Lepisosteus oculatus: one gene and its partner. The protein of the gene in region 1 purifies or fractionates together with the protein of each later gene. This does not show direct contact. Links are inferred from orthologs where the notes say so. Each region holds a gene or a part of one and is shown in the gene's direction. Other genes may lie near its edges.

Region 1 (16,683 bases):
TAGCCTTTTTCAGATCTGTTCTCCTGCCACCTCAGAGACCAGCAATTAATCTAATGCTCGGTATGTCTGTGGCACGGTAATGTTATGTGAACAGCACTTAAAATCACTCTCAACCCACTTTGAATTAAATTAATTAATGGAAAGTGCTGTAAGTGCACACTGTCCTGTATATCATTTTCTTTTTTGCTCACACAAATGTGTATGCATACTTTACGTCGCATAAGTGCAGGTTTGTGGATTTCTTTAGAAATACATGCAGTCTATACAACAGAACTAATTGTGATGGTGTCAGTGGCAAATCCATACAATACGTGTGAGTATCAACATGGAAAACGGACAACTGCATTTTGGATCTTGTTCAAAAAGAGAAAAGTCTCCAATCCTGTACGACTTCCTGGATCTGGGGCAGACAGAAAGAAGCTACCTTCAGACCTGCCTCTGGGGCGCGATGCGATATAAAAAGCACATGTTCTGCCAGCAAGTCCTCAGGGCAGAGGCCTGCAGCCCATCCCGACCACACTCACAGAAACGGCAGAGTCCCGCGTGCCGGGGATCACGCTGTGCTAAGCTGCGAGCCAGCTGTTATAAAAGCCACAAGCAGGGTGCGGGGCGAAAAAACAAAACTGAAAAACATTCCTGCCTCCCTTTTCAAATGGCCGAGGTGAAACAACTTTCCAGCCCTGTGTTTACATTCAAGCCACTGGCTCCGTATTTGCAACGAGGAAAAACAAGAGGGCACGAGGGCAGGCACATCTCAAAGCAGGGGTGTCCAGCCGTGGTCCTGCGGGGGGCCAGTGTGTCTGCTGGCTTTCATTCCAGCCCCACTCTTAATGAGCTCATTTTGGGTTTAACTGGACCAAAGGTCAGGTTCTGGAAACACAGAAAACCTACAGACACACCCGTCCTCCAGGAACAAGACAACACTACTTTAAAGGCAAAAAAAAACAACTTTCAATCTTAATAGCCATATATTAAACCTGCACCCATTCTGTCATGGGAAGAGTTCAAGTCACGATCTGAAAATTTCAGCGATTTGCCTCTTATCTGTGTGCAGACCAACTATTATTCCCCGTTCCCACGACGTGTGTGTAAACCGAATCACAGCATTGTGATACAAAGAGCCTGTAACACAGAAAAAGTTCAGTTTCCCAAGAGGTAGCCTACCCCCTCCTGCTGTCCAAATGAAAATATTTGCTTGAACTGGTCGTACGAATGGCACAGGACAGACTGAGGCATACCATTATTGAGAAGGTAATGCTGCAGATTGACTTATATGAGGAAGTACTGATACTGATACACAGTTGTAGTCATACTAGCCCTGACTTAATCACTACTGAATATCTAAGGATGCATTAGGAAACCTTAGACATAATTTATATTCGTAATAAATCCATGACTAATTTATTATTTGTCCATACAAATATCTACAGCTTGATCAAAGCTAAGAAGTAGCACATGACAGCAGCAGGCAAGGCTCTGGTCGTAAATTTCCAGTCAATTGTTTTTATACGTCGAGCGAAGGTTGGCAAGGGGAGGGTTTCTGTCATTTCATCAGTTCTGCACTTTGACCCAGCCGTGCACGGAATACATAAGCAGAGCGATCTGGACTTTCTTAATCTCTCCAAGCAGGAGCAGGAACAGCGATCAGCCAGCCGCTGAGGATCAGGATGTTTTCGGTAGAAAAGGACCGATACAATAGTACGACTGTCAGCTGCTTCCGAAACCCCTGTAACAAGCCGCTCGCCTGGGATCAGGCTGGAGAAGAGCCCTGGTGATGCTCAGGCTCGGGAATCATTCAGACAGATGAACAGGACACTGACTGGCTCACAGGAGTGCAAAACAGAGACACGGCACACTTGATGCATCTATCTTAGTGCCGTTTTTTTCCCTTAATTAGACCTTTTTTAATCACCGTTTCTCCAGAGACAAGAGACTGCCAAAACAAAATGATTTCAGTAGAGTTCCAAGCATGAAAAAGCCATATGTAATATCCTGCACATAAAGGACGATCAAAACGCCCTCCCCGCACAATTCTAAAATATACATCCAGGTTTTCCCTTGAAACCTGTTTTAATTAGCATTTAGCCAAGGAAACAGTGATGCCGATCGCTAAATCACTTCTTGCCACTGGTTACAGCAGACACATGCTCAGCATGATTCTTCATTTCTACCGTGTGGATTCAATGAAACGTCCCAACTGCCTGTTTCAAGTATATAGAAAAAACAAACAAACAAACAAACAAACAAACAAACAAACAGGAGAAACCAAACTTCAGCTTTAAAACATACCTTTTTGACAACCACCTGACTGAAAACAAAATAATCTCTCACAACATTTGGTTTGCATATTGCAGTTTCTGCCAAAGGCAGTAAAGTTGGTTGACATATTCGCAGGCAACATCAATAAGCCTGAGCAGTGCTGTTTATATGCTACACTATAAAAGAGCACAAGCGCTGTGTAGGTAACTATAAATCTCCACAGCGCATTACGAGCAATTAAAATGAAACACGGGTGTATAGACAGCTTATGGTATGGTTTACACATTTAAATGATAATTGCTGCTTAACTTGCAACATATAAAAAATAAACGTCATCGTCATTGCTCCTGCTGAAGACAGGAAGTAAAGTCTCCTGTCCTGACAAAAGCCCAAGCTGGCATAAGTTAGCCCTTGGTCCCTATTCCTCTGAGCTGGCACATGAGCAGGGCACAGAGCTCAGGATACAGATACAATGCACTGTTCTAAGCCTATAAAATTTGGCAATTCAACATGCTCCCGGTGAAAACTAAAAAAAAAAAACCTTTCTTTCACCAAAATTGTCTAATCCTAGCCCTACGATTCAGACTCTTTGGAAAATTACTTCACAGTAATTCCACAGAGTGGTTTTATCTTAAAGCTGCTGCTGAGGACAGGCCAAGAGAGGCTTAATTCTGGAACGAAGAAATCTGAGGGCTTTCGGGAAAAAAAGAAAACTGAAATGAAGACGTGTGAACTGGGGGGGGGGGGGGCTGGCGAGGGGGCAAAAGAAAAATCTAAAATATTTTAGAAAAATTAGGTAAAAATAGGAAAAAAAAACCCAGGCTTGTGCCCAGACTGCAGTGCCTTCTGTGTGGAGTGCACATGCTTGCCCCTTGCTTGCGTATGGCGTTTCTCTGGGTGCTCCAGTTTCCTCCCACTGCCCGGAGGCGCACTGTCGAGGGTAACTGGCCTTTCTCACTGGGCTGCATGAGTGCGCACTGCAACGCGCTGGCATCTGCCTTGTGCCGTGCCGTGCGAGGCCAGGGTAAGCTCGGGGTTGGCGCAAATTTCACCAGGAATAAACAGCATTCCAACCGTGGATGGGATGGAAAATCCAGCCCGGACCGGACTGTGATTATTGCACCAGGCTCATTAGGGCGGTATATAGAGAATACTCATGCCTGAAAACATTTCACAACACTGAAGGCTGGCACAACACAGTGCACTGACTAAGCTGCCCGTACCACTGTGGCTAGGGGTCTGCGCCTGTGGCTGGAAGGCTGCCGGTTCAAATCCTGCGGCCGAAAGAGGAATCCTACTCCGCTGGGCCCCTGAGCAAGGCCCTTCACCCCAGCTGCTCCAGGGGCCCTGTACAATGGCTGACCCTACGCTCTAACCCCCAGCTTCTCTCCCTGTCTGCGTGTCTCACGGAGAGCAGGCTGGGGTACGCGAAAAGACAAATTCCTAATGCAAGAAACTGTATATGGCACAATGAAGTGATCTGATGTTACACGGTATCCGTCTTGCGGCCAGGCCTGCTCCTCTTGCTCCTCGTTGGTTTTTACTGCAGGTTTCTGCTCACTGTTGCACCGTTTCACCTCTCGATTGTACAGAACTCTCAAAACCAAAAGCCCTTCCTGCTATTTTCGTTCACTGGAATAACCTAGCATAATAAACGTTTAATAAAGCGTTTCCCGCAAGTGCCGTAGCTCAGAGGTGCTGTGGTGGAGGTTTAAGCTGTAAAAACACTTTGGCTGTGGTGAAAGTCCATAATTTCCACATTTAACTCCAAATAAGGAACAGACGCGTATTTAAAAAAACAATTATACTAAAAGTAGATTTCAGTTACAAGAGTAATAAGGAAGGACATATTCAAATTACTCCTTATATTATTTTTCTGAGCATGGAACGCATTCTATACTTAAGAACACTCCTCGCATGAAAGACACTGTATTCAAATACACGTCTGGCTAGTTATCTTGCCAGTTTAATACTTATAATGTATTCATTCGTTCTGTTTAAACGGCAAAAACACTTTCATTTTCACAAATGTACACTTCATAAAATACGAAAATTACTTTTAACTTTGACTTTATTTCTCAATTAAGTGGCGGCTGTTTTGCACTGCCCTGTTTATAAAGGCTGACAACGCTGAGGAGCCCTGCTCTTTGGTTCCATGTGGTTTTAGATTACAACACCCTTGACGAAGAAGTGGACACAGCATTTCCCTGTTTCTGTTGACAAGCCACTTTACAAATTGCATGTGCTACACTGCACTAACAACCATCTACTGTAAGATCCGGTCACGCTTCCGGCTAAATTGAATATAAGAAGGTTTAATGAATATTCTATTAAATCGCCAGTTTATCAAAAATAAAGGTTCTTTATTGATAAAGGTTAATAATGCATCTGCAAATATCAAGAGCAATGAGCTTATCTTAGGTTAGGCTTAGCACAAACGCTACCGCCGTGATCCTATAGATGTTGTGAACGATTCATGCGTCCAGTACGTTCTAACTTCTTCATCCAGCGCAGGGCTGTGGGGAACCCAGCGTCTATCCTGCCCAACGAGAGCACGGCAGATCACACCCACAGGCCAGCAGCCAACTACCCCACCCTTATGCTACCACGCCCGGAGTGCGGGAGGAGACCAGACCCTGGGAGCACATGCGAACTCCACGCAGACTGCACCCCGGGAACTGGGAGGGTGCAGCGCTCACCCGTGCTCCAGTGTGCCCCCACTTCAGACGATCCCCTCATGTCAACTGCAGATTGACCATTCATACACTATCAGACCAGGGGTTCCTCGAAGCTCTCTCGTCTTCCCGACACTCGTGTGCGGAGGCCGGTCTCTGCGACCGCCCCCCCCCCATCTTAAGGACGAAATGAAAACACGGAACACTATCCGCAGCCCCAAATCTTTAAGACGGAAAGACGCAAGGCTTCATCGTTGGAGGTGCTGGCGTGACCCCCTGTACGGGCTGTCAGGTGTGTGTGTGGGGTCTCCGGGGACCGTCCCCCGGCTGACGACCACTGTAGCATCACCAAAAAATGTACTGTACGCATGCTATTTAGCCTTTTAAACCGACACAGCTTCGCACGCTTTATTCTTTATTTCCTATTTATTGTCATTCGCGAATGACAGGCGGGTGTTGGGGGGGCCGTGGAGCTGTTGCCACAGCAACCGGCGACACTCCTGCCAGGACTGCGCCGGACCGTAATACTGCCGAGACTCCCGGGACCCGCTTGAGCAAACCAGCCCGAGCAGCCTTACCCCGACCTCCCCGCCGGCTTCAAAGGAGAAGAGAAAACAAAGAGAAAACGACGGCTGTTTTCAGGAGCCCTCCGCATGCGTGTAGCACTTTGTAACACCCCATGAAAGCCGAGCCTCCGGCGTAAAACGAACCGTTACCACGTCTGGTGGGGGAGGGAGGGAAAAAGGGCGAACAACTTGTAAAAGGCCAAGAAGACAACCAGAAGGGATCCGTTAGCTTGAACGTAAAGAGCTTAAAAGTTTAAGGCCACCGCTCGGCGCAGCGGCTTCGCCGTACGGCAGCCGGTGTCTCTCGGTCAGCCCTACCGGACGCACAGACTCGCACCGCTCTCCTCGGCGACCTGCCCCGCAAACCGTGCAGGTTAATTAGCCAAGTGCCCCCCCCCGGGTGGCCTACCTGAATGTAGTACGGCTTTTTCAGCCAGGCCCATGAAAACAGCCCCCTCGCCATGGCAGAAACAGCACATCTCACCACATCAACCTGCGGAAAGACCCCCCAGTTAGACCAGAAGACGGCATGATGGAGCCTCCCCCCGCCCGTCCGTCCCCGCTACTGTGACCAGCGAGCTGCGGAAATGCAGTGTATCATGTGCCGTCCTGTTACCCAGTAGTCATTCCCGTTTCCCGTGGGACAGCTCCTCGCAAACGCGCCCCGGGCCGCCGACAGATACGGCACCTTCTCCTCTGCTCCTCTCCTGGAGCGCTGCAGCTGCTGTGGGCTGAGTCCACCGCTGGATACCCCTGCCTTCCGTGCGTGCTGCATAAAAGGCGCAGGAGCAGGGAAGGGATTTCGCCGACACAAAATGGCTTTAGCTGCGCGCATCAGTTACGCGCCCGGTTCACACGGGCGGGCGGGTCGCTACTGCGTTGTTACAAATTGTGTCTTTTTAACATTTTTCTTCCAAGTGTGTGTGTGTAGGGGGCGGGGAGTCTGGGCGCTTGACGTGGCGTGAACAGCAGCGCTTCCAAAATAAAACAACCCGTAGCTAACACGTTTTTTTTTTGTTGTTGTTGTTGTTGTTGTTGGTCAAGCGAGAAGTTAACTGTGTGCTTTACATGCGAGTTTGGGAGCGACGAGGGGAAAACACGCGCGTTTCAATGAGAAAAATACGGATCAGCAGCGCAGTTGTGTACCGAGAGGAAACTAAATGAAGATTTTGTGAAACGACGGGCAGAGCCCTCGTACTTCACTCATAACTGCGAAGACAGGATATTTTTATCACACTGGAAATGCCCCTTTCCACACATACAGAGACACGTGTGACCAGAGGAGGCCTCCCTGTGGTGTTCAATCCAGATCAGAGTAGGCCATATCTCCTCCTTGTAATAGGGTGTTAGCAGGGGTCCTGGGTGGTTTGGGACAGGTACAACTGGATATCCGTCATGCCCAAGGACTCCCGGCTCATTATCTAGGCGACGTGCTGCTGGGCCAGTCTGGGATTCTGAAACAAATCTCGGCCCGGAGGAGAAGTCCTGAGATCTTGGCGAGTAAGAGCACTGACGCGCCGGAGCTCTTCCTCACAGCTCATTCCTGGAGGGCCCCGAGGTTCCTGTGGCTCGTCTTCACTTGATCACCTGATAGAGCCCATTGATCGCTCAACTGGACACGGCGACCCTTTTCCTTGCGAGCTGTAAAACCGGCTGGGCCCTCAGAGGAGGCGAGATGCAGTTCGGGGGCCATCGGGAGCACCCTGGAATAGCACAGCACCTCAGCTGCTGAGAGCTGGCCACAGGCGTACCGCTGAGGGTTCAGCCAGGGCGTGAAACCTGTCAGAGCACCTTTCTCAGGTGATAAACCCAGCTGGCGATAACTCGTGTGTAAAATATCTCATGTTTCCCTGGATACCTGTTCCTGCTGAGCCAAGCAAATGAATGCACCACAGAGCGCTTCATCTTAATCTTAATCTCCCCCTTTTGCAAAAAAAAAGAAACGTCAGAAAAGAGCAGAATGTACGTGCTGTGCTTTCACGTTGGAAAGACAGAGCGGTGGAGCAGCTTGAATAGAAATATAACGAGGACACACAACGTTTCGGCTGGAGATTCATTTCCGGGGGAGAAAATTCAGCATCTGATAAATCGGACTTCTTTTCCTCCTGCTTTGCAGCACAGAGTTCAAGTTGACTTGCCTGCTGACGCAGCTCCCCAGATTCAGTGTTCAGTCAAGTGGGGTGGAGTCAAGAGGAGAGCAGTTGAAGCTTTGACAGCAGCGCCCTCAGGTGGTAATTAGAAGATACTGTTGGTATCGCAGCACCATTAAATTAATTAACCCTCACCCCGAAGCATGCAATAATCAAAAACTTACAGTTAGAACACTAACTCGTATTTCTACTTTTAGCTTTCATTACCAATAGTACTATCGCTCTCCTCAAAACAGTAATGACGGGCTAATTCCTATTCAATCAATCTGAAACACACACTATTTTTGGAATGTGGCAGCAGCACTGCCCCCTGCTGGACGAGAGGCGCATCTCCCCTGCAAGTGCACAGAAGACCGCAGGGGGCGCGCTCTCTCTCTCTCTCTCTACTGGGGCAGTTCTGCCACACCAGCTAAGGACAGTCGGCTGGCGATACAACCCTTCCCCGCACGCTGAGCCGGAGAGTCCCTGGCTGTCCGAGCCGCTAATTGCGGCCAGTCCTGCCAAACCGACATCACTGGTCGCCTTCAGTGTTTTAACGGTAAAGGTAGTGCAAACTACGCCCCCAGATTAGTCTGCAACAAGTCATAAAGTTGCCTTTTTTTTAAATTTTAAATTTTAAAAGCCTTACCTGAATCAGGCATATAAACATTTTAAAATGGCGCGCTGTGTTATTAATGCGGTATAGCTGGTATTCAGTTCGTCTGGCTGCTTTTAATCTGGGCTACAACCACGACGTCGGGCGCACCGGTAGCAGAGAACTCGCCGTTCCCTCTACCGGCGCCCGTTAGAAACGCGATCAACGCCGTCTCTGAGCGGCACGGGTCGCCTCCTCTTTGGCCCCCACGCCCACGCCCACGGCAGAGGCCGGAGTCGGGCCCCAGGTCCGGCCCAGACCAGACCAGACCAGACCAGCGGCGCCAGGGGGCCGCCTGCAGCAGAGCAGCTCCGCCGCGCGCATCCGCGTGTGCGCAGGCAGAGGGCCCTCGCGCTCTCCCTCCCCCCCTCCTTCGCTCCGCCGGGCCCGAGACCACGGCCGTCCGCACGCGGCGCAGAATGTTGTTGCTCACGGGGCGCTTCCCAGAATGCACCCCAGTCTCAGCGGGAAACCAAAATGGCGAACGTGTTGGGGGAGAGGGAACCGTTTGTAATCTTTTAACATTTTTTTTTTCTCTCCCCGAGTCCGGAAACCATTGAACAAAAAGGAGGGGACTGCGGTTCCACGGTTGTAGAAGGCAGTTTTTTTTTTATTTGGACGAGAGAACCGGGAGTTTCGCAAAGGCCGAATATTTTACTGTATGAAACGTTTTGACCGGGTGAAGTGACCGAATGAGGTGAAATATGTTTCATGTTTTATTGGGAGTACGGGGAGGGGGGTGGGTTGCGTTTTATCAGCGGAGTGCGCTGCTTGTTTTTATTTAAAACAAAATGATGCATTTGACGTAGCTTTTCGGAGTTCAACGGTTTTGCTCTGCTGTCGCTTTGCGGACATTTAACTGCATTTGTGAAGCCGAAGCGTTGTGGAAGAACTCCGGAGATAGACGTTTCATTGTTCGCATACACAACAAAAGGGTTGTGTCCCCCCCACGTACAAAAGAGTAAAAGCACCTCGCAAATGCGGTACGTGTGTAAACGTATCAATAAAGACCAGATCTGATTAACGGCAAGTCGGGACTGCTGAACGTGCCGCATGTTGGAAACGAAGTCTCGTGGAAAGCGAAGTGTTAACGATGTTCGTGATGCATTTCTCCACAAATGCATATAGTTTAACCAGTTATTTAAATTACAGAATTACGATACACGTGTATAAATATATGCAGAATGTAAGATGGCTAATGAGAGTGTAATAATCAGCCGTTAAGCTTTTCTTGCATCGAGGTCACCGTACTGCACGTCCACCACATAATAAAGCCGAATGAAATGTTAGGTTCTCCGTGGCATATCGCCGGACAGGAAGGCTCAGCACTGACCACATTACAGATGGTCATGAGAAATTATAGCGTAGCCTGGTATGGTTAATTCATTGGAAAGGGAGTTCGTGTGATCATCAATGGGGTCATTGGGGCTGTGGGATAGAAATATATATATTTTTACTCCTTTCTGAAGTATTCCTACATCATCTTGGGATATTTTTTTCCCTCGTGTAAGTAGTAAGATGGTCTTTTAAATATTTCACCTATCCTTTGAACATAGAAATTATTCTTGCTTCATGAGAAAGCAAAGGCAAAATTCAGAAGTTTAGAAATTCCAGATCAAGAGGATAGATTTGTAATTTTGATATGTAGAAGAAAATAGTTAAATCGCCTGGAGCCACTGCTTGTGATTTAAAACGTTTTAATTTCACAGTTGATCCAGTGAATGCAAATTCTTGCTGCTTAGTGAAATATAATTTGTCCACACATGCAGGAAGGGAACTGGTGAGAGTTGTGTTCTGACAGATCGTGTCTCGCTGGGATCTTGGTGTCAGGCATGGCATTTGTTACATTCAACAGTTCCAAGATGTGCTTTCTGTGATTCTAAAGTGATCTACTCATTTTAACAAATTATAAAAGAGCATTGGTGAATAGTGGATTGCTATTGGTCAGTAATGTAGTTCTTACTGGGGAAGATGCTATAAAATGAGTGCGAGTAACCTATCTGTTTTATGGATGGTCTTTTTGTTTGGGTGGTCAAAACAAACACTAAAAAGTAATTTTTGCTTGCGAGTGTTTTGAGACATTTATTCCTGACACCTCAGTGTTTGCTTTTTTTGTTTGCACCTCCACAAAACTAATGACCTAAATCTCAACACATTTTTCCTTCCCCTTCTGTGACAGAGACGCAACGGAAGTAGAGAATTTGTCTCTCCACAAAAAAGCACATTCCAACAGAAACCATAAGACGCCTGTGACCGGGGCTAAACTGTCTTTTAAGGATGGGCAGCGAACAAAAAAGCTTGCAAGCAAATTTGAGGAGGGACAAGATGTCCTAGCCAGGTGGTCCGATGGCTTGTTTTATCTCGGAACTATCACCAAGGTAATCTATAGATATTTTAACAAACTGATCTCTGCAAGCCTATCAGTGGTCACTTCTTAAGGGTGCTTGAAAATATCCAGATTTTTCTAATTTGGGATTTTTGCTTTGAGTAAATGCGTTCGTGTTCTTGAAGTATGCTGGAAAGTACTGTAGGGTTATGTGAGATGCTCATGTCGATATTTCCCCCCCCCAGATAAACAAACACAAACACCGCTGCTTTGTCGTCTTCGAAGACCGCTCGAAATCCTGGGTTCTCTGGAAGGACATACAAACTGGCAAGTTTCCCCCTTTTCCAACTTAAAAGATCCGAAGAGTCCACTGAATTGGACAGCACGGTATTTATCGTTATCATGAACGTAAAACTAGTAGCCAGGTTCCCTGATCAAGACGGAACATATTTTCTCATTTGGGACAAATGAGTTAGCTCATAGTGTTCTCATGGTCGGTGAACTTTCATCTGCAAACACTCATGGGAAAATTCAACACCATGAACAGTAAATGACAGCGTTTTTAAAGCTTCTTTATGGGAATGTCCTGCACAAGAGAAGATGGAACTTTAATTTTGGTAAAGCTCACAAACCAAATTCCTTGGCTTCGAAACCCAGGGGGGTGGCTGTTTTTAAGCGTGATTTATTCTTTTCAATTCGAGGTTTAAAGAAGAGTGTAAATATGATAAGGTTTTGCATACTTTTCTCTCGTAATTAAACTTTGAACTGAAATATAAGCGGACTGCACTGTAGACTTGGTTTTCATCTGTAGTTTATTAATTGGTTCAATATTATTACGTCAGAGTAACAGAGTGCTTCTTCGTGTTGTCAGCACTGCTTTTCTGTGTTAGGAAGCTCACCATCTTTTCCTCTTTTAAGTTTTGCTTTATACTTCTCTATTTTCTCCACAGATAATACCCCAGGACGATCTACCTACAGAACCTCCGTTTTTTAGATAGACTTATTTTACTCAGCTCGTTTTCCTTTTCTATGCTGAGATTTCTTTTGACGCTCTTCTCTCTGTATTAATTTTCTCCCTGTATTGCTCAGGTCAAGTTATGTTTACTTTGTCTCTGAGCAGTTGACAGACTACAGGGTCTCTGGGCTTACACAAACAGTAAGCTCTGAAAGGCATCGGTGGCATGATTAGGGAAGGTATTTTTAAGTCTGTGTCAGTGTTCATGTATGTAATATGTATCTTTTTACGTTTCCTTTCTGTGGTTTACATCATTAGATGTCTTTTGTGCATTGGAAAGCCAGTCTTGCTGTGAAAGTGGTGCTGAAATTCAGCTGACCTGTCATATTCAGAAGCAATTTTTTTTTCAGTGAAAAATGCACACATCAGCCTGTGGATCTTTCCCACATGTAGGCTATGAGCACACTTTGGTTTAGAGTTAAGCAAGACCTCCTTGTACACCAGAACACTAGTCCTACGTGATTGTACCCTTGTTCTGATTGCATTGCTTTGCTGGTTTGTGTTTTTTATGCTTAGTCTGATTAAGAATTTTTATTTTTAATTAAGATGCGTAACCCATTTTAAATTGCAAGCAAGTTGGTGGCCTGCATCTTGTTTCTGAACGCATTCATTTTGCTTTTCTTGTCTGTGCTTCATGTTGCTTAAAGTTTTGTGCTTAAAGCCGTGTTGGGATTCTCCCCTGACAAAAGCAGACCTGCATTTAGGTAGTTAGAGCATCGTGTTTGGTGGCTTTTCATGGATTTGTTGTGGCTCACAGCAGTGAAGTGCTGGACATGGAATCGGCTCTGGGTTGTGCGTCCTTATTTGTAGTCAGTCCACTGGTTTTGTTTCTTTCTACGTTTAGGTGAAAGAAATATAAAGGATCATAAAAAAATACCCAATGTTTTGTCTTGCATGTTTTTTAGGAGCCAGCAGTGGAGGGGAGATGGTCTGTACAATATGTCAGGAAGAAAACTCGGAAGCTCCAAACGAGATTGTCATCTGTGATAAGTGTGGGCAAGGTAACCCTTGACTGCAGCAATATTCTCCCATGAGTAAAAGAGAAAAGTGAATGTGTTTTCATGTGTGTTGCCCTTTTCATGTGTGTTGCAGGTTATCACCAGCTGTGCCATGCACCAAATATCGACTGCAGTGTTATTGCTTCAGATGACAAGTGGCTTTGCCGGCAGTGTGTGTTTGCAACTACGACAAAGGTTCGATACTTTTAGAATTTTTGCTTCCGTGTTATTATTGCATTTGCTCTTACTGTGTTACTGAAAAGCTGCGGTTGTGCTTCTGGTGGCTTCGTACAGTCATAGATTGAAGGGCCGTATCTGGACCAAGGCGATGAGTTAAATGAAAGTTGTTTAATGAAATTTGGTTCATCACCCAAGCAAGTGCTAAACATGTCCTAGTGAATTAGCTAAGTTCTCATAGATGTAGAAAATGTAGGTAGCGGTGTCATCATGTGTAGGCTGCAAAGGAATAAGTAAAGATTTATTCCATGCTGATAAGAGAAGAAAAGAAACAACGTCTTGGCTGTGGTGACACCAGAAGAAAGCTCCACAGCTGAAATGTTGTGTTTCTTTACTAATAAACCTTTATTTGTCCCATAGAAAATGTACGTCTGCGTTGGAACATCTGTGTACGATTTTAGAAAAAGTTTTTGACGGTCCTTTTCCTTTTGTAATTACCAGCTTAGCGTCGTGTTGATGACTTTTTTTTTCTTATTTTTAATACAGAGAGGAGGTGCTCTAAAGAAAGGACCGAATGCAAAAGCCCTGCAAGTCATGAAACAGTCATTACCATATACGTTAGAGGATCTTGTCTGGGACGAAGGCCATAAAACAAATATCCAGCAATGTTACTGCTACTGTGGAGGCCCTGGAGAGTGAGTGCCCAGCATGTTTAACTCTGCTACGCCCAGTGTTCAGTGCGTGTCTACAGGTGTAGCTGTGGGTTCACACCTTTTAAGTCTTAACATCACATAGGATGAGAGTTAAATGCTCTCTTCTGGCCTGTTGTATTTTTAACCTAAACCTCAGATGTTTTAGGAAGATCAAAATCTGCTGCTTTCTGAAGAATTGTCTGCATGGGGCCTTCTTTTCCTGTTTATAAACCCACTAAAACAGGTTTCTAGTATTCTGAAAAGCATCTGGTTTAATGATCTCTATTGTGTTTTTCTTTACCAAGTCTGTATTGATTTATTATTGCACATACCGACTAGCTTAAGACAGACACGAGGAAATGGGGAAATTGTTGCTTTTTTTTTTGTTTAAACCCTTGCTTGAGGGGTTAAAGTTGTCCAAGAGCAGATTACTCTGAAGATGTGCTTTTCATCTCCTTATGTATCTAACCTGAACAGATTAATGCCAGGCTGAATTAACTGGAACATTTCCATTCTCTGTAGCTGGTATCTGAAGATGCTGCAGTGCAGTAAATGTAAGCAGTGGTTTCATGAGGCTTGCATTCAGTGTTTCCAGAAGCCAATGCTTTATGGGGATAGGTAAGATGGCATCTGTTTCTTTCATAAAAACACATTTACAAAGTGTTGCTGGCATTACTTAAAATAATTTTTAATTCTTTTTTATTCTAGGTTCTATGTGTTCATATGTTCAGTTTGCAATTCCGGACCAGAGTACCTCAAACGTCTGCCTTTGAGGTGGTAAGTTGCAATTTTCAGTTATGACATGAAATGGCTGTTACAGTAATCGAACGGACTAGTGTGCGTGGTTGTATCCAAACTTTATTCATAGTTTTTCAGAGTAGGTCATCTCATCCCAGTCGCATACAAATGTATATATTCTGGTCTCAAAAACCCCAAGTCTGATAATTTATTAAAAGGCCTCCCGATACGGCACTCGAACATTTCACATAGTTGCTCATTTAAAATATTTCTTTAAGACGTACTGTGTTGGATATCTCAAAGCAAGAGAGAGTTTGAGTGCAAGATCAAAATGGTGGCCATGCACCCATCTTGGTACACACAGAAACAGCATTGTGTCAGATGGTATTAATAGACTTGAGAAAATTACACCATTTTGGAGTTCATGAGAGTTAGGGTTACAGGCCACATTGATGACAAAAACAAAATTTCTTGCACATTCATCATGTTGATCGTAGAATGTATACTTTTAAGGTTTGCAATTATTTCGGAATTAATTGGGCAAACGGTTTTTGATCAGGAGCAGTGTGGGCCTTCTTTTCTTAAAATGGTTTGACTTATTGTGAGCTTTATAACGAGTACAGCAACGTTTCAAATGTAGACTTTCTTTGGTTGTTGATTTAGCCAACCTACTTTCGTTTCAACTGGTCCTACAGTATACTGGATGATTTTGAAAGTTTTCAAATACGGGGATCAGGCCAACAATTGCTAGGCTGCCTAGTTTAAAAATTGCCAAGAAAAAGATTCAAGTATAGGTTTAATCCATGCTAAAAAGACGCACCTGAAGAAGACAATTATATATAGAGACAATCCTGGTACAGCTCTTGTTTTCCATTGAAGGGTATAGCACTGTTCTTAATTTTCATGTTGACCTGCTCTCTCCCCACAGGGTAGATGTAGCACACCTGAGTCTGTACAACCTGAGTGTTATTCACAAGAAGAAGTATTTTGATTCGGAGCTGGAACTGATGGCGTATATTAATGAAAACTGGGACAGACTACAGCTGGGAGATGTAGGATTATTTTTAATGCATTTTTTTTCCACTTAACCAACAATTTACAAAAATATAGAATATTGTGCTTTAGGCGTGTATTTGGTCTTAAGATCTCTTGCATGTTTTCATAACACTATTGTTGTGTATATGTTTATATATGCAATATGTTTATAATGCTCTTTTAGTGTATTGTATGTGTTTTGTTTACTTTTTTAATGTACCAGATGACCATAGCGTCGTTTTTAAACAAACATCCTCTATTAGTGTCATTAAAATTTAATATTAGTGAGTATGAATTAAAAGTACTGAGTGTACATTTGCAGATTTATAAATATCCTGACGTGTAACATTTTGAAAGATTTTGTTAAAAGTAATTAACCATGAACTGCACACAGTCTGAACAATTTCCTTAATTTTTGCAGCTTGGTGACACGCCAAAATCTGAACGATATGAAAGTATTCTTGAAGCTCTGAACAAAAACAAGACTATGTAAGTTGCATTGTTGTAAATACAAGTGTTCATATGTTTTGTCATTGCAACTGTGGGCTGAATGGTGCTCTTATACTGGTGACTGTGATATTTTAAGGTTTATGTCTGGAAAGGAAATAAAGAAAAAGAAACACTTGTTTGGGCTGAGAATCCGCTTTCCACCTGCTCCTCAGAACACTGACTCAAGGGCTGACCGAGAGCCTGAGCGGGCTTCCCATGAGATCAAAATTAAAGGCAGGAAGTCCACAAAGCCTATCCCCGACACCAGGTGAGAGACCCCTTGTTATACATCTGTTACATGCGTGTTTAAAACGGAGGTCGAAGTGGGTAGCCTTAAAGGTAGAGGAACTCATTTAAATGGTCTCATGCCTGCGTAATCACCATTGCGTGATCCTGTCGTGCCTTTTTCCCCCGAACCATAAGCATAACTACAAGTGCTGACAACTTTTGAATGTTTATGAATGATTCACAACTAAGATCCTAAAAATTAAAACGTGCTAAGCAAATGAGGAAAAGTGAGGCTATGTAAGTATTACTGATATTCATACCACTAAGCGAAGGTTCTCAAAGAGCAGGTGACTCTGTTTTGTGACCCGCAGTGGTTAAACAGTTTGATTTGTCATTGTGAAATTGACAGGTTCCTCCGGAACTTTTGTGGAGGGTGGTGTCCCTGAGATGTTCTTCAGTGATTTGTGAAGTACTGGCTTTCTCCTTTCTGTGAAAAGTCAGCCGGGTCGTGGCTCTGCTGTGAGGACTGCATCAGTGAAAGTGGAACTCTGGGAGGGTCAGGCAATCAAGTCAGCTGACCTCTCGTTCTGTCTTTCCAGTGAGATGATGAATGGAGTCGTTAGAAAGGGAAAAAGAAAGCATGTCAGACACTCGCTTGAAACGGCTGCAAAACTCAGACGGTCATCCGCACTGCCAGCCCA
Region 2 (16,683 bases), on another chromosome or scaffold:
ATACCTCAACGGGCACATCCAGACATCTGTTTTCTAATCACTTTTTCCAGTTCGGGGTCAGGGGGGAGCTGGAGCCTGTCTCAGCAAGAAACAGGCACAAGGCAGGGTACACCCTGAATGGGATGGCACTTTATTGCAGGGCAAACACAGACATGCACACACTCAAACCTAGGGCCAACTTTCCCACCAGCCAATTAGCCTATCTGTATGTTTTTGGAATGTGGAAGAGAACCACAACACCCAGAGGAAGCCCACCTGAACATGAACACAAAAAACCCCAAACAGACAGCAGTTCAGGTGTAGAATTGAACCAAGGGCCTCAGTGCTACAAGGCTGCAAAGGTAACCAAAGCATCGCTGGGCACATGAATAATATTATTTACATTTTAAATAGTGAGAAGAATTGTTCAGTGTTTGGCTAAAACATCCTGATAAGTTTTGGAATCCATCTAAGTAGGATGCCAGGACCAGAGGTGACAAAACAGCCCTAGAGTGTAACAGATTTCTGTTCTTTCCTGGTCATGACATTCTTTTTCAACATGAGCTTCACTTTTCCCTCCTAATTAGAACTCTGGTACAACTGTCCAGATATGTAGTTTGCGATTTATCCAACCGCATAATTTGGTATCGTTTGTCTTGGGAGTGAGTTAGTTGCTTCTACATATTGATAGAATTCTGTTGCAGAACCCCCGGTCATAAGGAGTCTTGGAGGCGTGGTAGCCTGATAAAGACTGTTCCCTAGGTTTTGCCCTTGGAGCCAACAGCACATTTTGGTAAAACTTAACTTACAACAGCTTCCTTTTGGGTCTGCTAATGAGACTTTCACTTCTGTGTTCAGCCTCCCTTAATACCTAGTGCCAATCATGGCGAATTCAGGAAGCTTCCATGAAATTTAAATTTCCACAAATCTCCTTAGTCTTTGTGAAACTACCAACAGACTGCAAACCACATAAAAGGAATAAATTTACAAAATGTATTGTCTAGGTATTTCAAGGCATGAATAAAAATGAACATTGTGAATGCTGAAATATAGTACTGTAATTATTTAATTTTAGTAATGGTTCCTGAGACCCTGTGTTGGAGGAGGGGAATTGTTTTCATATTTTTCCATGTCATACTCAGGAATGAGGGAAACTTCTGGAACACACTCTCATTTAAGTTTGAAAGCTATGTTTGTAAATGTTTTATTTGTTAAAATAAAAAAAGCAATAAATTAAAATGCAACATAAGCTTAAATTAGAGTTTGCTTTTTTTGTTATTAGAACAACATACAGAGACATTTCCTGCTCATACTGAACTATTAAACTACTATTTGTGTTAATATATATGTTGCTATCAGTACTAAAGACAATAACATCAATTTTCTTTCATTGCTGAAGTATTTAAAAGATGAAGTATGTGTGACAGTCACGGCTTCAAACTTGCTAATCATTTGTGTTCCAAGTTTTTCACCTTCCATTATAAGTAGATAAAAAAGCATTTAGTCTTAAAGCATTCATAATTAAATAAAAAATGTATGTCCAGATAATTGTTTTGTTACATTGTAATGTTATTTAGTGTGTTATACCCATTTACAGGTTGTCAATCGTTCTCCTACAGAAAGTGAAGTGTACAGCTCTACTGTTAGGCTATTTTGCTTTCTCCAAGTGAATTAAGATTAGTTTAGATTTCTTACTGAAGAAACATCTCATTGCTACTAGCTTCCCAGCACCCCCCCTTGTTAATGATCATGAATAAAAACAGAAAATTCAGTCCACCTTTGTGTACAAGTGGTGTCTTGGCATCGGCCTTTTCTTTAAATTCACAGGCATGTTGCGCTGTCAGGCACTGAGAATAATGCAAACTGAATGTTTGCCAAACTGAAAAAAGCAATTCCTAAAAACATTACGGCATGAAATGAAAAACAAAGCTGATGTAGAGAAAACCCACACTGTGACCTATGCCGTGAACTTGAGAGGAGGATGGTGGGCAAAAGGAAAAGAACTGGACACTGAAGTGCAATTAGAATCAAATGTGTCGGGCTGTCCAGTGTTGTTAATCAGCTTTGCAGTACCTGATTCTCTCTGTTTCAATTAAGAGAACTGAATTAAGAGATCCAATAGTTTTCTTTTATCGAAGCTCTTCTCCTGTGTGATACCCATTGGTGTGATATGTCTGACAAGAAAACAATTTAAATAGGCCTGTATAGCGGAATGGTACACCCTTTACGCCTTTCAGCAAAGCACACAAAACAAGTACAAGACACAAAGTAGAAGCTTTACCATTCATTGAGGAACACCTCAACAGCTGTATCACCCTGAAACTCACAACTCACAAGTGGCAACAGAGTGAGGCCCTAAGCAGGGGAGAACCTGGTCAGTACCTGGATGGGAGACCTCCTGGCAAAAAGGTTGCTGCTGGAAATTGTGTTAGTGGGGCCAGTAGGGGGTGCTCACCCTGCAGCCTGTGTAGGTCATCATGTTTCAGTATAGTAATGGGGACACTATACTGTAGAAAAGGCACCATCCTTCATATGAGACTTAAAAGAGAGGTCCTGACTCTCTGTGGTCATTAAACATCCCAGGATGTCTTTTGAAAAGAGTAAGGGTATTACCCCAGTGTCCTGGCCAAATTTCCGCCTGGCCTTTACCAATAATGGCCTCCTAATAATCCCCATCTATGAACTGGCGTCATAACTCTTTTCTCCTCCCCACTGATAGCTGTCCAGAAAAGCACTATATAAGTGTAAAGAATTATTATTAACCCATCAACATACACTATCATCTGCATCCTAGGGGGCACCACCTGTAATATATTAGATAAGGGGTCTCAAACTCAGTTCCTGGAGGGGCCTGTGTCTTCTGGTGTCTGGTCCATCTAAGCTCCCCATTCCAAGTTACACTGACACCCCGGAACTGGGCGCTAATGCCAGTGATTAAGCACAGGTGTAATAATAATAGGATTGCAAGAGAAGTAGCAGTTTTTAATTTTATCAACTCATTTTAAAGGCATCATTTCTATAGTTTTAAAGGTCTCTTTACTACCACTCCATCCCCATTACTGATAATGATATGCACTGTTTTGGCAGGGTTGCCAACCTGCAAGGTATTGTAGCCAACAGTTTCACCAAATAAAGGATACATATTCTTTAAAGAATTGTAGGTTTTCACTTGAGTTTCTAGTACTGAGTGTAACACCAGTTTGCCCCCAAATCAAAAAAGCATAAAGTGTTGTCATAGCTGTAGATGTGCAGAAGCAAATATCCAACTTCAGATCATATCCTACTTCAAAATATGGATTTTAGGACCTAATATTTTGGAGAGAAGGCAGCTCCAAACTCATGCAGCTTCCTGATGCTGATGCTCAGTTCTGCTCCATGTCTGCAGCTCTGCATGAGGAGTTCTGACTGACTTGTCCCCGTGGCCAGGCTGCACCCACTCCGCTAAGCAGAGTTACATCAAAAAAGAAAGCTGGAATCACTCTGGTAGGCACTTTAAGCTAAGGGGTGTTATCCAAAACTACAATGATAACACGTATGTGTAAAGAGACAGTCGCAAATCGGTCTTGATTACACTGATTGATTGGATCAACAGCAACATCCTGCTGGTGCAGTCAGGCTAGATGTATTCGGACTGAGCACACGGGTCATGTACACCAAGCACAGACCATCATTGCTCATCTTCAATACCAGGGGTCTCCTCCTAGCCCTGGCCTTGGAAAGACCCTTAAGATCCAGAAGGAAGAGTGGGTAACCACTAAAACACAGGTTTTGTATCATTTGGAAGAACTGAATTATGATCATTTAAGCAAGTGCTTTGTCAAATTTACTTATTTACAAATCACTGACAACACGATTCTGAATACCCTTCAGTTCTCTGTTGTAACTCTTCCCTTAATTGAGTGGCTTGCTTGCTTAATTGATCAATATCTTACTCTTGCACCTAATTGTTAAAAAAAGGAGTAATTTGTGGGTGATGCTTACGACTTACTAGAAAAAGGACTGGTTTGGGGTTGTAGACCCCAAAATGAATGTGAATACGTTGATCTCCAGAACTCCCACAGTAAAGGCATGAACTCTGGTCCCAACAACATTTTGTATATTGTTATTATTATGATTTTGATATTATATATATATTTTTTAAATTATTGCCTTGTCAACGTGACACACCTTTGTAATTGTTACCTCGGACATAGACAGATCAAACTGGGGTAAAGTTATTAGTGGTGTTCCACAGGAATCTGTACTAGGACCACTGTTCTTCTTGATTTTTTATTAGTAGCCTCGATTTTGATCTAGAATGAACAAATGTCTTCCCTTCATTTTAGTATGGAAGCAATAACGAAGTTAAACAGAATGTTAGAAGTTACATTGTAGAATTTAAATCAGTAGATGTTGTTCTAAAATTGAGCAATCTAGTAAGACCTCATTTAAAAATTTAGGTCACTAACTTTAAAAAAGATCTCGCTGCTCTGCAATCAGTCCAGAGAACAGCAACCAGATACAACTGTCTTGAAGGACAGTTCTACACTGACAAACTTAAGGAACAGACCCCTTTTGTCCTGAACAGAGGAGACTATGAGGGGACCTTATTCAAGTAATCAGTATCCTCAAGGGCTCAACTTAGTGAACTTCTTCAGAATGAACGGTGAAACATGAACCTGTGGACACAGGGAGGTACATTTAAAACTGAGAACAGTAGGTACTTCTTTCCACAAAGGGCAGTGGGGGTGTGGAACAACCCATTCACATTGTCGAAGCCAGTGCCCCGGATTCTCTGATGGGAATGAGATCCTTGGATCAGTTACAGCTACTAGCAACCAAACAAACTAGATAATGTCTCCTCGCGTTTGTAACTGGTCTTACTCTGTAATTGAGTTTTGCTGTAATACTCAACGCCCTTTCTTGAATAATTGTCTAGGTCTGTGGAACTCGTTCTCTCCAGTGACAGACAGAGAAAAATTACATTACTGTCTGCTGCTGTGCATTGCATGGTTTAATTGTATCATGTGCTGGGTATACTTGTGATTAGAATCTTCATGAGGGAGGGCGTACAGTATGTCAAGCACTCTACTCTTTTAACCCACGAACGGCTGCCGACGTTCCTCCTGGTCCTTGTGATTCATGTCGGACTTGGAATTAAATGATTAAATTGAGATAACGAGTTTGAAAGTCTTGGATCGATCATACAGTATTCTGCTCGTAAACGATTTAAGGGGAAACGCGATCATTTAATTGTATTTTTTTTTATTTTTAACCTTATCTTTGTTGGATTACCTGCAGACTTCCCATCTGGGTTCTGAGGTGGGCTGGAGTTATGCACCATTGATACAATCTTTTTAAGCAAGTCTAAAGGTTCATGAATCCACACTTTAAAAAAAAGATAGGTCAGACAGCCGTACTAACGAAAATAAAGCCTAACTTACAACGCCGCTGTTCACGGTTTACAAGAGTTCCCTAAAACGAAAAGAGAATACAGTGAGGTGTGTAACTAAATCAGGTTAATAACATTCCTCTCGAGTTTATTAAGTAAACAGAACACAGGGGGCGCTACTTTCATTACTGAGAGGTCTACGTCTGGCTTTAACTTCATACACCAAGCCGTAAAAATGCATCTTGGCCACCAATAACCATTATATCATGCTTGTAAGGTACAGCAACGGCAGTGTGTTTGTATATGTATACATGTGTGCTTTTAAATATGCAGATTCCTCCCCTCTGTACATACACAGAGCCCAGAGCCGGTGGCAGGGAAAATTGTGCTTCGAAGAACGAAGTCGGTTCATGATTTGTACCCGGTCCCTAATGAGCGAAGCCTTTTAAAGTTACCGCTGCGCTGCGCTGGGCTGCGATAGGCTGAGGCCGAGGAAGAAAGAGCATTGCTCAGTGCAGATTAGCAGTGCTGCTGGAGAGTTCAGTCATCTCGTCTGCGAGCTCCAGCCGAAACGTGACTGCGAACCTTTTATTTATTTTCTTATCTTTAAATCCCCTCCCCGAACAAGATGTAGCTTCCAGCAGTACGCAAACGCCCACTAGAATACGCTTCTTAATTTCGCGACACTCGGGGAGAGCGGATGACGTCCTATTTTTTTTGCTTACGAATGGAAGATATCGTGAATTATTATGAGTACGTTATATCGGAGCCCCCTTTTTCTGTGATTGTTTTTCCTGCGTCGTGGATTTCTAACTTGGGATTTACTATCAAATCGAGGCGAGTCCCTGCTCCGTGAAGGCAACGACAAGGAATAAATACGTACTCCCCAGATCTGCGTACCGGGGATTTAAATAGTCTTTGGCGTGTTCTTCAAGAAAAAGCATAAACGAGGAAAGGGAAAAATTCATGTGGCAATTCTCTGTTTAGCAAACACGACTTGGATCGCAGAATGAGCAAGGAACGACCCAAGAGGAATATTATTCAAAAGAAATATGTAAGTTCATTTTTTTTCTGCTGCTGTGCGAGGCAGTGTGGGGTTTTAAATTGACCTTAACAAGTTTCCATGTCCTCTCCGCTTGTTGTGATTAAAATGCATTGAGAACTTTGATCTCGGGCCGATTGGATTGAGTCCGCTGGCGTTTTGCACGTTTTTAGTTATGTAGAAACGTTCCCAGCCCTGGTTTCTAGGTAAAATGTTTTTATTTGCAAAGGGGGAGTTCATTTCGGGTTCTCCGGTGGCTGGGTCTACCGTGCAAATAAGGCAGCCTCGTAGGGGGATCACATTACAGCGTTGTATTTGTTTAGATGATTTTAATAATCAGGCGCGGCGTTACCTACAATAACATTTATTTTCCCAGCAATTGCCATCTGGAATGGCTTTGTTTGTTCCTCATATTCTCGTAATTTTGAGCCGTGCACAGACAGCCATAGCTGTAGGTTGCCTCTGGCTCTTTCCGGGTTTAGCATTGCCCGATGCCATTATCAATTTGTTAATAAACTATCATGTTGTCATCGATTTACTGTGGTTTCACAGATGTGCTCAAGGGTGGGAGCATTACCGGAGAGTTGTAGGTGATTTTTTTAGTTGCGATTAGCGAGGACCACGTTTGCAGAAGTCAAGGCCAGTAGACTGGAGCACGCACACACGGGCAGGGGCTGTTTGATCTTTAATTTCATCGCCGAGACTGGGGGAAAAAAAGGCCCGTTTTGCGTTTTGCCTTTAAATTCCCTGGCTGCCGTGTGGCAACACTGCAAACTTCGCAGCCGTGAATCCCCATGTTTCTGTTCCCGGCGATTTGCAAACCGGTTTTATGGTTGTGGAAATGCACTGTGCGAGTTGTTTTTGTTTCGTTTTGCACGTTTTCTCCGTGTGACCTCTGAGTGGTTGTGAGCAGTCGCCGCAGCCGGGGCTGGCTGCCACGATTATTTCAGGGTTTCTTGGTAAATTTCGTGAAGCACGGAGGGGATTTGGGTTTAATCGTTTTAAGAGATCCGCGTTAAAAACACGCCGCGATGTAACAGTAGCTTTGATTAAGGCGCAAAGGTGACATACTGGGGATCGTTTTAAGAAGGCAGTAATTCCAGTCGCATTGCAGAGGTTCATGTTGTGCGAGAGAACAGCAACCATTTTATCTTTGCAAGGAAGAATAAAAACTACGGATAATATAAACCTTGGGCTCAATCACTAGGAGTGTCGGAAGCAAATCCTTGGCACGACGTCCTGTAGTTATATTTTTTTCGGACGAAGTAGAAGGTTGGGGGCGAGTTAATGCTAAAAAATTAATAACAAAGGGGTTTCTCGTGTCGAGTTGCTAGGCACATTTCTGTAACCTTATTTAGCATTTTAACCCCTAACTTTCTGGACTTAAGTCAGGATTCTGTGTGGGTTTGGGGGTACTATATTCTGAAAATACTTCACTTTTATTCCCCCCTATTTATGTTTTCTTATAGGGCCACTTCTTTTGTCAGTAGTATAAATGTAACCATCATGAGGTACTGCAGGAAAGTAGCCAAGGTTTTTGGAGTTCACTGAAGTCACACGTTCCGTTCATTACTTAGCTGTGGCCCGAGAGCGTTTCTTTATTTTTTTTTCTTGAGCCACGACGCTAACTCTTCAGGGCAGACAGCATGGCCTCTCGGTTTTTTTTCTGCTTTTCAGACGTCTGTACAGACTACGTTTAAAGCAACAGGTCAATCCTATCAATTTCGCTGGGTCTGGGGACAGATCACATTTTCCGGTGTCGCGTTGGCGTTTGCGTGGCTTTTTTTGTTGCAAATGTTGGCATATGGAGAACTACATATTCCTCACTAGTAATATTGAGGAGGTATGATCATGGTTTATTGGCAATCGGGAGAGAGTTGTTTGTGGCTCAGCGTTTCAAGCAAATTTCCTTGTAGTATGGCATTTGTAGTCGTGTGCTGTCCATTTAAAAACTTCTCCCCAAAATAAACACAAATTTAATAAACCTCTACGGGCTACAAGCATGAGGAAATCATTTGTCTGAGGCTTTTAATACTTATGAATGAAGTCATGGTTTGGCTCGTGCGGGCATTTTTTTATTGCAACGATAATCACATACAGCATCAAGCAATAAAATCTCATTTTCCATATTTTTAAGTATTGTAGGAACATGAGTTTTGCTAAAATGTGAACTTACTCGACGTCTGAGTTGTAAAGCTGTAACAGGTGATTTCTTTAAGCACAAAAGACGAGTGACAATCGTTCATCGTTTTCTTTGTGAAGCGTAATGAGGTCTGTATTTTATTGGAAGGTATACATCGTCCCGAAGTTTTTCAGATTGCATCTGTTATGATACAGGCTAAAATAGGATTGGAGTTGTGATGACTGAGGAACAGCTCACGTTTTAACTACAATGTAGAAGCGAATTTGTCTGTCCCCTCTGTGCTGTCCCTTCGGAGGGGGGATGGGGGATGTGTTTGGGTCTAAAGTCTTGGAAAGACGTGCTCACGCACCTTGGTTAGACAGTATGAGTTTGCATAATAGGTTTGTGAAAAATAAACCAGAACGGCACTCTGACCAAAGAGGTATTTTGCACTACGAATAAAAGAGCACTACCTAAGTTAAAATCAGTTTTTCAGAAATCCTCCTTGTGGTTGTAGGTAGTGTTGCTGGAGTGGAAAACTCACTGCTCGAGTTGGAGGCTGGTGAGGTGATTATCAGATCGCCAGTTACACGCTTGCGCACACGGTGCACGTACGCGTACGAGTCCTGTGCCTCGTCCCTGTCCCTTGGATCGATTCTTGCACTGTATTTACAAGACACTGGCGGTGTGCTCTTCAGGCTGTTACACAGTCTGATCGTTCTTTGGTTTTATGCCAAAATGTTTTGAACAATCAGAAGCCACTTAAAGCCTGGAGATATAAAGGGGCTAACTGATGTTTTGAACGACTCGAACTTTCTCCGATATGGATGAAATACTTGTGGTGCTTTTAATTGGTAAGCTTGATTGGTGCGGTGATTTAGATAATAGCTCTAGATGTTGAGATCTGGGTTAGAGACATGGAGTGTTTTTTAGATGTTCCTTTACAGCAATTAAATAAATGGAAATTCCACAGCAGTAAGATTTGATCCTGACTTTTGATAACTGAATATGGTAACTTATCAATATGATATAATACGTGCTTAATTCCCAGCCCTGTCAAGTTGAGATTGCAATTTTGTGACCTTCCTCTTTTGTACACGGAAATGGTATCAGTCAAGCAGAGAACCGAGTACCAGTAGCCTGTTAAACCTATCAGAACTTACTATTGTTTAAATATTGTATTTTTTGCGTGGTGATGTCTGGGGTTGGTGCAGCAAGTGAGATATGAAGGGTCTGAATGTACACCTGTTTTAGCAAGCTAGTTAACCCATTGCTTTCCCACAGGATTTACTCTAAAATAATTTCTCCAGTTCCTTGTGATGGAGTCAGCCTGCAAAAATACAGTGTGATGCCTTATAAATGTGAGCCACTTTTGTTCTCCACTTCAAAAACCCAACAGAGGGCGTTTCGGACACCTGGGTTAGTGACGGGATCGACCTGTGTCGATATGAGTCCGGACCTGGGTGACATGACGGCAGACATCAGGTGTACCAGATACATCTCCTGAAGGGTTTTTCCTTCCCCGCTGTTGTTCTGTTCAGCATCCCTGTGAAGTTTTTTTTTTGTAGTTCTTTGGTGAGGAAGTTGCTGAATGTGTTTATTCTTTAGAAAATGGCGTGCAAAGGGGTTTGAAGTGTTTTCTTATTAAATCGGTGGGCGCCTTCTGTTGCAATGCATGTGTGAAGATCACGTTAAGGATCCAAGATGAATCCCTTATCCAATTTGTGTATCCCAGGCAGGGCAAACCCATGCCACTGTATCTAGGAGCCGTTGTGTGCACATCATCTGACTTGTTTTAATCATAAGACCAGTCATCTTGTATAATGTTTAGTCACCAAGGTCTGCAAGAAGAGTGGTTGCAGTAGGGATGAGTTGTGTAACAGTGCATCACAAACTTTCTAATAAGCCTTTTAAAACCGACACATCTACAGTTCTTGTATTTCAGTGCTGACCGACTGACCATCAGTAAGGATTTGGTTTTAAAGAGGTTAAAATGTGCTTCTGTATTCTTTTGACTGCCTCCCTTTAAAATTCACACCAGAACATTTGGGGACTTTTGGCAGCAGTAATGCAGTCCCGGAGAGCTGGTGTTCTGTAACTCAGCACGGCGGCTGTGTGTCTCGTGATAGTTAGAAACATGCTTGTACAGAAGGAAAAAAACCTAAAAAAATCTTGTTTCTTAAAAAAAAAAAATCTGTCTTGGAATTTGGTAAGGGGCGGAGCTTGTAAACAGCAGGTACGCGTTTGCCGTGGCCTGCTGTGTGGGTTAGGAGCACGGTTTGCACCTGGGAAAGCCACTGTGCACAATGAGCTTTAACTGGGGGGCACGTTTCCCCTTTCCCCCCTGCCTCACTCTGGCTGCAGCCTGCATGATTTGTGCCTCTTGTTGACCTTGACCCCAGTCCCCCCTCAGTGAAGGAAACCCCACCTCAGGCACAAAGGGTGTCCATCTGCGGGTGACATGTCAAACCTGGCGCATTGCATGCTGGGGCACCAGAATGTCACTTCGCAATTGGCCGAAAGTGCCTTATTTATAGAAATAGGACTTCAGGTTGAACTAACTCCCCTTTTGGTTGGAGCTTTCTTTGCAAAATTGGGATGTCCATGTCCTGAGAAGAGATGAACAACCATGTGCCTCCCAGCCCTGTTCTCGGTGCTTGCCTGTGTTTAGTCATCGTGTGCACCTATTCTGTTTTACTTCACAGCCATGCGCGTGTTTATCCTTCTTGTGGTTTCTCACACGGGAGTTCTTGTTTAAAACTGTATTGTGTGTTTGGCGGGGTGAGAATATTACCCACTTCTCTGCAAGATGCTTTGGCTGCTGTCAAGGGAAATCTCGTTGAATCTTACCAAGCAAAAGCAAAAAAAAAAAACCGAAGACATCCCAAGAGTCAGAGCTTAGACCAGGGGCTCCTGCCCTACTAATTTAACCTTTCCTTAATTAGCGTAAGACAATTATACATGCTTGGCTTAAGTATTTCCCCTCGAACAAGTTACCCTCCCCCACCCCCCCGCCACCCCCGGCACGAACCAGGGATGCTGCTGTTAAAATTCATCACTGAGGAACCCGAAAGCAAACACAGAAATATAATTACTGCTCCCTGATGGATAGACTTAAATATAACCTAGACAAAGCTATATCACTCCAGTATGTGGTAAAGAAGCCTGAACTTGCTTGAAGTGGTTTATGATTAATGGTTTCTTCCAATACACCAAACTTGTCAGCTTTTCAACAGCAGATCCTTGGTTTCAGTGTTTTTCTGAATTAAGAAGGGGAGGGAGGGGGAAGGGGGGGGGTGGTTGTGTTGCAGCAATTTTTATAAATTGTCATTTAGTTTAACAGAATGTGACAATAAGACCAGAGTTAACATGGATAATATTGCCATTTTGTGCAGAACAGGCTCCTATTTAGGCCCAGCTGGGGCTCAGCTCTAATTCATTGCTGTACGCTGGGATAAGCACAGCTGCTCTGGGGCCTTTACAAATGTAAAGAAGCTGTCAGTGTTTGTTTCATCAGGCGCACAACTGATGAGGCCAAGTTGAAGAATCCATTGCACTGTGTGGAGCACAAAGAGGAAACAAAACCGAGTGTGGCCGAGGCCTGTGAAGGATGACCGAGTCCTGCAGCTTCAAAATTGAAATGCGAGTCTGCGGTTGACCCCCGAGGTTGCCATGTTTTGTATCCAGACTCGCCTCGGCTTCATTCAACCTTATGTTTTAGTGGAAAACGGTCTTTAAAATTTACGTGTTTGACATGCTAGAATTCTGTGCTTAATTCTCGGGAGGCTGCAGTTTAAGTTGGAGAGTTTAATGGTCTCCAACAGGGGGGAGGGGCAGATGGGGCTTAGGTATGCCGAGGCTTGTATTTTTTTACCTTTTCTTGAAGGGAGAAAAAGGAATTTTACCTTTATAGTGACTAAACTACAGATTTTCTGTGGACATTAATCAAACATGGCAGGAAGGTGCGCTCTCTATGAGTGGGCCTACATAAGTAATTTTAAAGGAACGCTTTTAAGTTTAAGGCATGGCCAAAACTTGAAGTTAGTGTGTCTTCATCCAATTTGCAAGTGGTTCTTGGGGGGGAAAGTTAAATACTTCACGTCACTTACTGGACAAATCGCTGCAGATGTATACATTTGGCACATGTCTTAGCTTCTGTAGAAAAAATTTCTTCTAATCAGCCAGACATATGTATTTGTTTTGTATGTTTATTTATTCAGGCTTGAAAATATAACCATTTCTCCATAGTCTTAAATGGGTATGGAGTTGGAAGCTGTTTCACCCATTTATCTTATGAAGGGGCTGCTAATTTTTATACCTTAATGTTTTTTTTTACATAAAACCCTTGCGGTCTTTGTTTTTCAGGCTTTAAGCTTCACTGACCCTTTTGTTATCCTTCCTGAAGGAAAATAAATTTAGTGAGAGCTGTTCACTGGGGGCAGTTTTCTACTGTTGTTTCATGTAATAAGGAGAGGCTACTTAAATGGATGAAGTATTTTAAATACTGCATGTTTACTAGAGGGCAGACCAGACTTTTGCGAAATTATTTCAACTTTCCAGGAGTGTTGCACACAGTACGTCCGAACCTCCCTGTGCTTGACAGCAATGCAGTGAAGCCTGAAAAAAAAAAGGTTGAGAGGCATTAGATTGAAACCAAGTTGGCCCAAAGCTCTCGGCCAGCGATGGGGTCTTCTGTATTCCTTATGTGCTCCGCGCAGAGCCTGGTTGAGTTTTTGAGCTGGCGGTGATGGACATTGGGGTGAGATCAATAAAATCTAAACTCCTTACCTGAGAGCGTGGAGTTTTCTTGGACTGTGCAGAAAAGCAGTGGTTTTGTTTCATTTAGTCAGAAACAGCCTCTCCTTGTGTTTGCCAGCAGTTCACTTAGTTCTGTGCATCGTTACTGGGGCTCGCTGAGTGCAATTAAAGCTAATCACCAGCAGTCAGATCTGCCTTAACTATTTGCTGTTCCTGTGTAGCTCTTCCGCAGCAAGATGATAAAAGTTTACATAGCAGAGTCTGAAGGAAAGCATGTGTCAATACCACAGCTGTCTCCAGTTTGCAGCTTAAACCTGGCTCTCTTTCTTAATTACTTTCTGATGTGGGGGTGCATAGAAACAGAATGATTGTGTGCCATGATTAGGAATCGCTCCCTTTCAAAAGAACGTTTTCCACAGTCTGAACTGTTTTTGTACATTAGGCGGCAAATCAAAATTGTTCTGCTTTTGTCACATGGGGAAATCTGGGTTATTTCTGTTGACGCAGTAGGAGCTGTTGAGAAGCACAACCAAGGGCAATTCTGCCCCAGCGCAACACTGACTGACCTGGATTCTCAAGCCATGGCAGAAATAAAAATTCAAGTGTTGTGTAGCTTTTATCCTTTTCTGTTGTCTTTGCATTGTCTACCACAAATGAAGAAATCTAGATGTAACTGCAATGAGTTACTGCACTTCTTTTATAGCCTGTGTGATGACATTGTTTTCAGTGTTGATTTCAAATAAAGAGGCACAACGTCCTCATTCCCAGTTAAACTACAGGGAGGCACAGTGAAATCCTCTTACAGTTGCAGCTGGGTTAAGCCACTGGTAGGAAATTCTTCTGTCGGTATGTTCCAAATCGTTTAAAAATTGATTTTGGTTTTCTGTAAGACTGCTAGTGGCAGATTGATGGTGTATGAAAGAATTGAGCACTGAATTTGGAGTTTCAGAGACAGTTGTATTAGAAAGTGAATATTTTGAATCTACTATGGAGCCTTTTTGTGCTGCCTCCATCGAGGGGCAGAGAGGGGCTGACCTCTTAAAGAAGATGAGCATGTGAATAGCCTTGTTTTGGCCCAGCTGACTTTTTTTCATCAGTGGATGTTCCTCTTTCCAAAGTGCACGCATTGATCTTCACCTACCAGATGCAAACGGGACATCTAAAAGCAGTGGCTAGCATTGAACTTTCTCCCAGTGACCAAAATCACGTCAGGTAGCTGAAATTCTCTCATAAGTGATGGAATTTCCATACATGTTAGCTACCCCCACCACACTCCTTTCAGGAGATCCCAGAGTGCTTTTCATTTAGGAGAACAAATCCTGTACCCACCTCTGACGTGCATCCCCACGTGGGTGGCACACAGCAGCCGTTCTGTGCCTGAGGAGTGAGAAATTGATTCAACCTAAAGAGGAGCTTGATGGAGGCCACATTCGTTCATGCTCTTCCAAACAGATCTTTTAACAGCCATGTTGTCAGGAGCTTGTACAGCAGTGAGTCCCCTCTCATGTCACTGAGGCATTGGTTTGGAAATTATGGTTCCTAGGGAAGAGCGCCACCTACTGGTCGACCAGCACCACTAACAGCAACCTGGTCTCTTATTTTGTCTCAAGCAGCACATTTGTGCTTGGACTCTGTGCTTAAAACGTTCTTTAGTGGCCTGTGGAAAGACAGCTGATGTCACACAGCAGGAAGTTGTTACTGTGCTTCCTTAAAGACTTTTATTTAGTATTTCAATCTGAAGTCATTTTTTTTTATGAGAGAAAATGACTGCATTTCAAACGTAATGGTGGTTTGAATCAGTATTTTCACTTTCAGGTGTCTCCTGATGGAGTGGAAGTGTTTTTCGTAAATACTGCTATACCAGGTGAATGTATTCTATGACACGCCTGTTTCAGGGACCATTTCAGCAGTTTTTCAGAAAGACCAACCCAAACGAGGGCAAGCATCAATGCTTGTGCTCCCCTGTGCTGTTTAGTTTGGGAAAGGGTATCTTTCATATTTCACCCATAAATTATTTTCAGATGTTCTGTGCGCTGTTGCCGATAGAGTTCTGTTGCATCATAGGATTGTTTTTCTAAGTTATTTCAATACTTTTATGTTACTCTGTTAAATATGTGCATTTGGTGTGCATGACCTGCATGACTGTAACCATTTGAATTTATCTGATCTTTCTGGCTGTCTGTGGGTTGCTTTATTTCCATGAAACAAAGTTGTAAGGGACCAATTTCAATTAAAGCAGCTTTGTTTGGTACGCTAGCTCTCCGATGCTGCGTTGTGACGTCCGGAAAATGAAAGGGACTGTTCCTGGTGTGATGCAGGGCTTTCTCGTGAAAACCTGGCAGCTTGACTGTAATGGAGTCCTTGAAACCACTGAGAAAAGTATTGATTTCCTACTCTATCACGGCCCCTGTTGTGCACAAAGAGGTGGTATGTTTTGTATGTGATCAATGGACACTAACAGCTTCATGGCAGACCCTTATCAATATGAATAGATGATGGATGTTGTGGTGATTGTGATCAGAAGCCCTCGATCTACGCTGAAATGAAAATCTTTTCATATGCAAAAGTAGATTGATGTCAACCAGGAGTGAATTTTTTGGGGAAGGTGGTGGTGGTGGTGGTGGGGGGTTTTGGTGAAGCTTTGTTTGTTTTAGTGATGGTAGCCTTCTCATTATGTGTTTGGCTGTTTGGCCAAAGTCAGTGTTGGTCTTCCCAATCATGCCTCAGCCAAACTGTAACTAATAAGTGTTCCTTGTAGGAGTGAAGTATGCTATTCTGAAAGAGGAGAAAAGGAGTTAAATTTGTCAACCTTAGACATTTTGAAACGCTGCACTACCTTGAAGAATACTTGGGAGTTCTTTAGAACAAAGACCGACCCATGAAATCGGAGAAGCTGGCCCAAAGCGGCACTAATAGGCAGACATTTACAGCATTTCATCAGTGAACTGCGGAGTATTTCTCATTGGATAACTGTATAGAGGTTACAAAAATACTGCCAGCAGAGTGAACGTTTGTCACTTATCTTGGAGTGATGTAGGTTAGCAGACACAATGGCAATACATGGGAGAAAATCATGTGTTTCAGTATCGCATGAGGTTTTGCCTGTGAATCCTCCTTGGTCTTCTTTTTTTCTGGTTTGTGCTTTCTGTAAGAAAGCCAAGGGGTTTGTAGTTTTCAGAGCTGGTGTTGGCCCAGTAGGACAGGCTAATATTGCTTATAATAGGGAATTGCAGCTAGGGCACATTGTTCAGTGGGGTGGAACGTGATGAGATCAGATAGATGTGGACCTGACCTGTGACCTTTAGAGTGGAGGTCACATGCAAATGTACAAAATTAATTTAATCCTTGTTAGAAATCCCCACGCTTGATTTTGTATCGGGCTTACTCTTGTTTAGGCTGAAATCGAGCTTG

What was found.
Region 2: the proteins of mtf2 (region 1) and jarid2a purify together in Homo sapiens (affinity purification with mass spectrometry; 3 studies listed by BioGRID and IntAct, with this or other methods). This does not show direct contact. The link is inferred for Lepisosteus oculatus from reciprocal best matches to the Homo sapiens genes MTF2 and JARID2.

Annotation. Positions count from the first base shown.
Region 1 is NC_090704.1:1,841,216-1,857,898, forward strand, and holds the start of mtf2 (metal-response element-binding transcription factor 2), read left to right. Parts: upstream 1-8,662; 5' UTR 8,663-8,976; coding exon 8,977-8,981; intron 8,982-10,463; coding exon 10,464-10,662; intron 10,663-10,855; coding exon 10,856-10,937; exon of another isoform or gene 10,938-10,997; intron 10,998-11,612; exon of another isoform or gene 11,613-11,791; coding exon of another isoform or gene 11,792-11,804; intron 11,805-12,530; coding exon 12,531-12,626; intron 12,627-12,717; coding exon 12,718-12,818; intron 12,819-13,346; coding exon 13,347-13,495; intron 13,496-14,014; coding exon 14,015-14,110; intron 14,111-14,200; coding exon 14,201-14,269; intron 14,270-14,815; exon of another isoform or gene 14,816-15,158; coding exon 15,159-15,282; exon of another isoform or gene 15,283-15,686; coding exon 15,687-15,754; exon of another isoform or gene 15,755-15,851; coding exon 15,852-16,022; exon of another isoform or gene 16,023-16,573; intron 16,574-16,581; coding exon 16,582-16,683. Other genes in the region: dipk1aa (divergent protein kinase domain 1A), read right to left, coding at 5,910-5,993, 6,117-6,335. UniProt on the Homo sapiens protein: Polycomb group (PcG) protein that specifically binds histone H3 trimethylated at 'Lys-36' (H3K36me3) and recruits the PRC2 complex, thus enhancing PRC2 H3K27me3 methylation activity.
Region 2 is NC_090705.1:16,312,606-16,329,288, forward strand, and holds the start of jarid2a (protein Jumonji), read left to right. Parts: upstream 1-5,835; 5' UTR 5,836-6,359; coding exon 6,360-6,404; intron 6,405-16,683.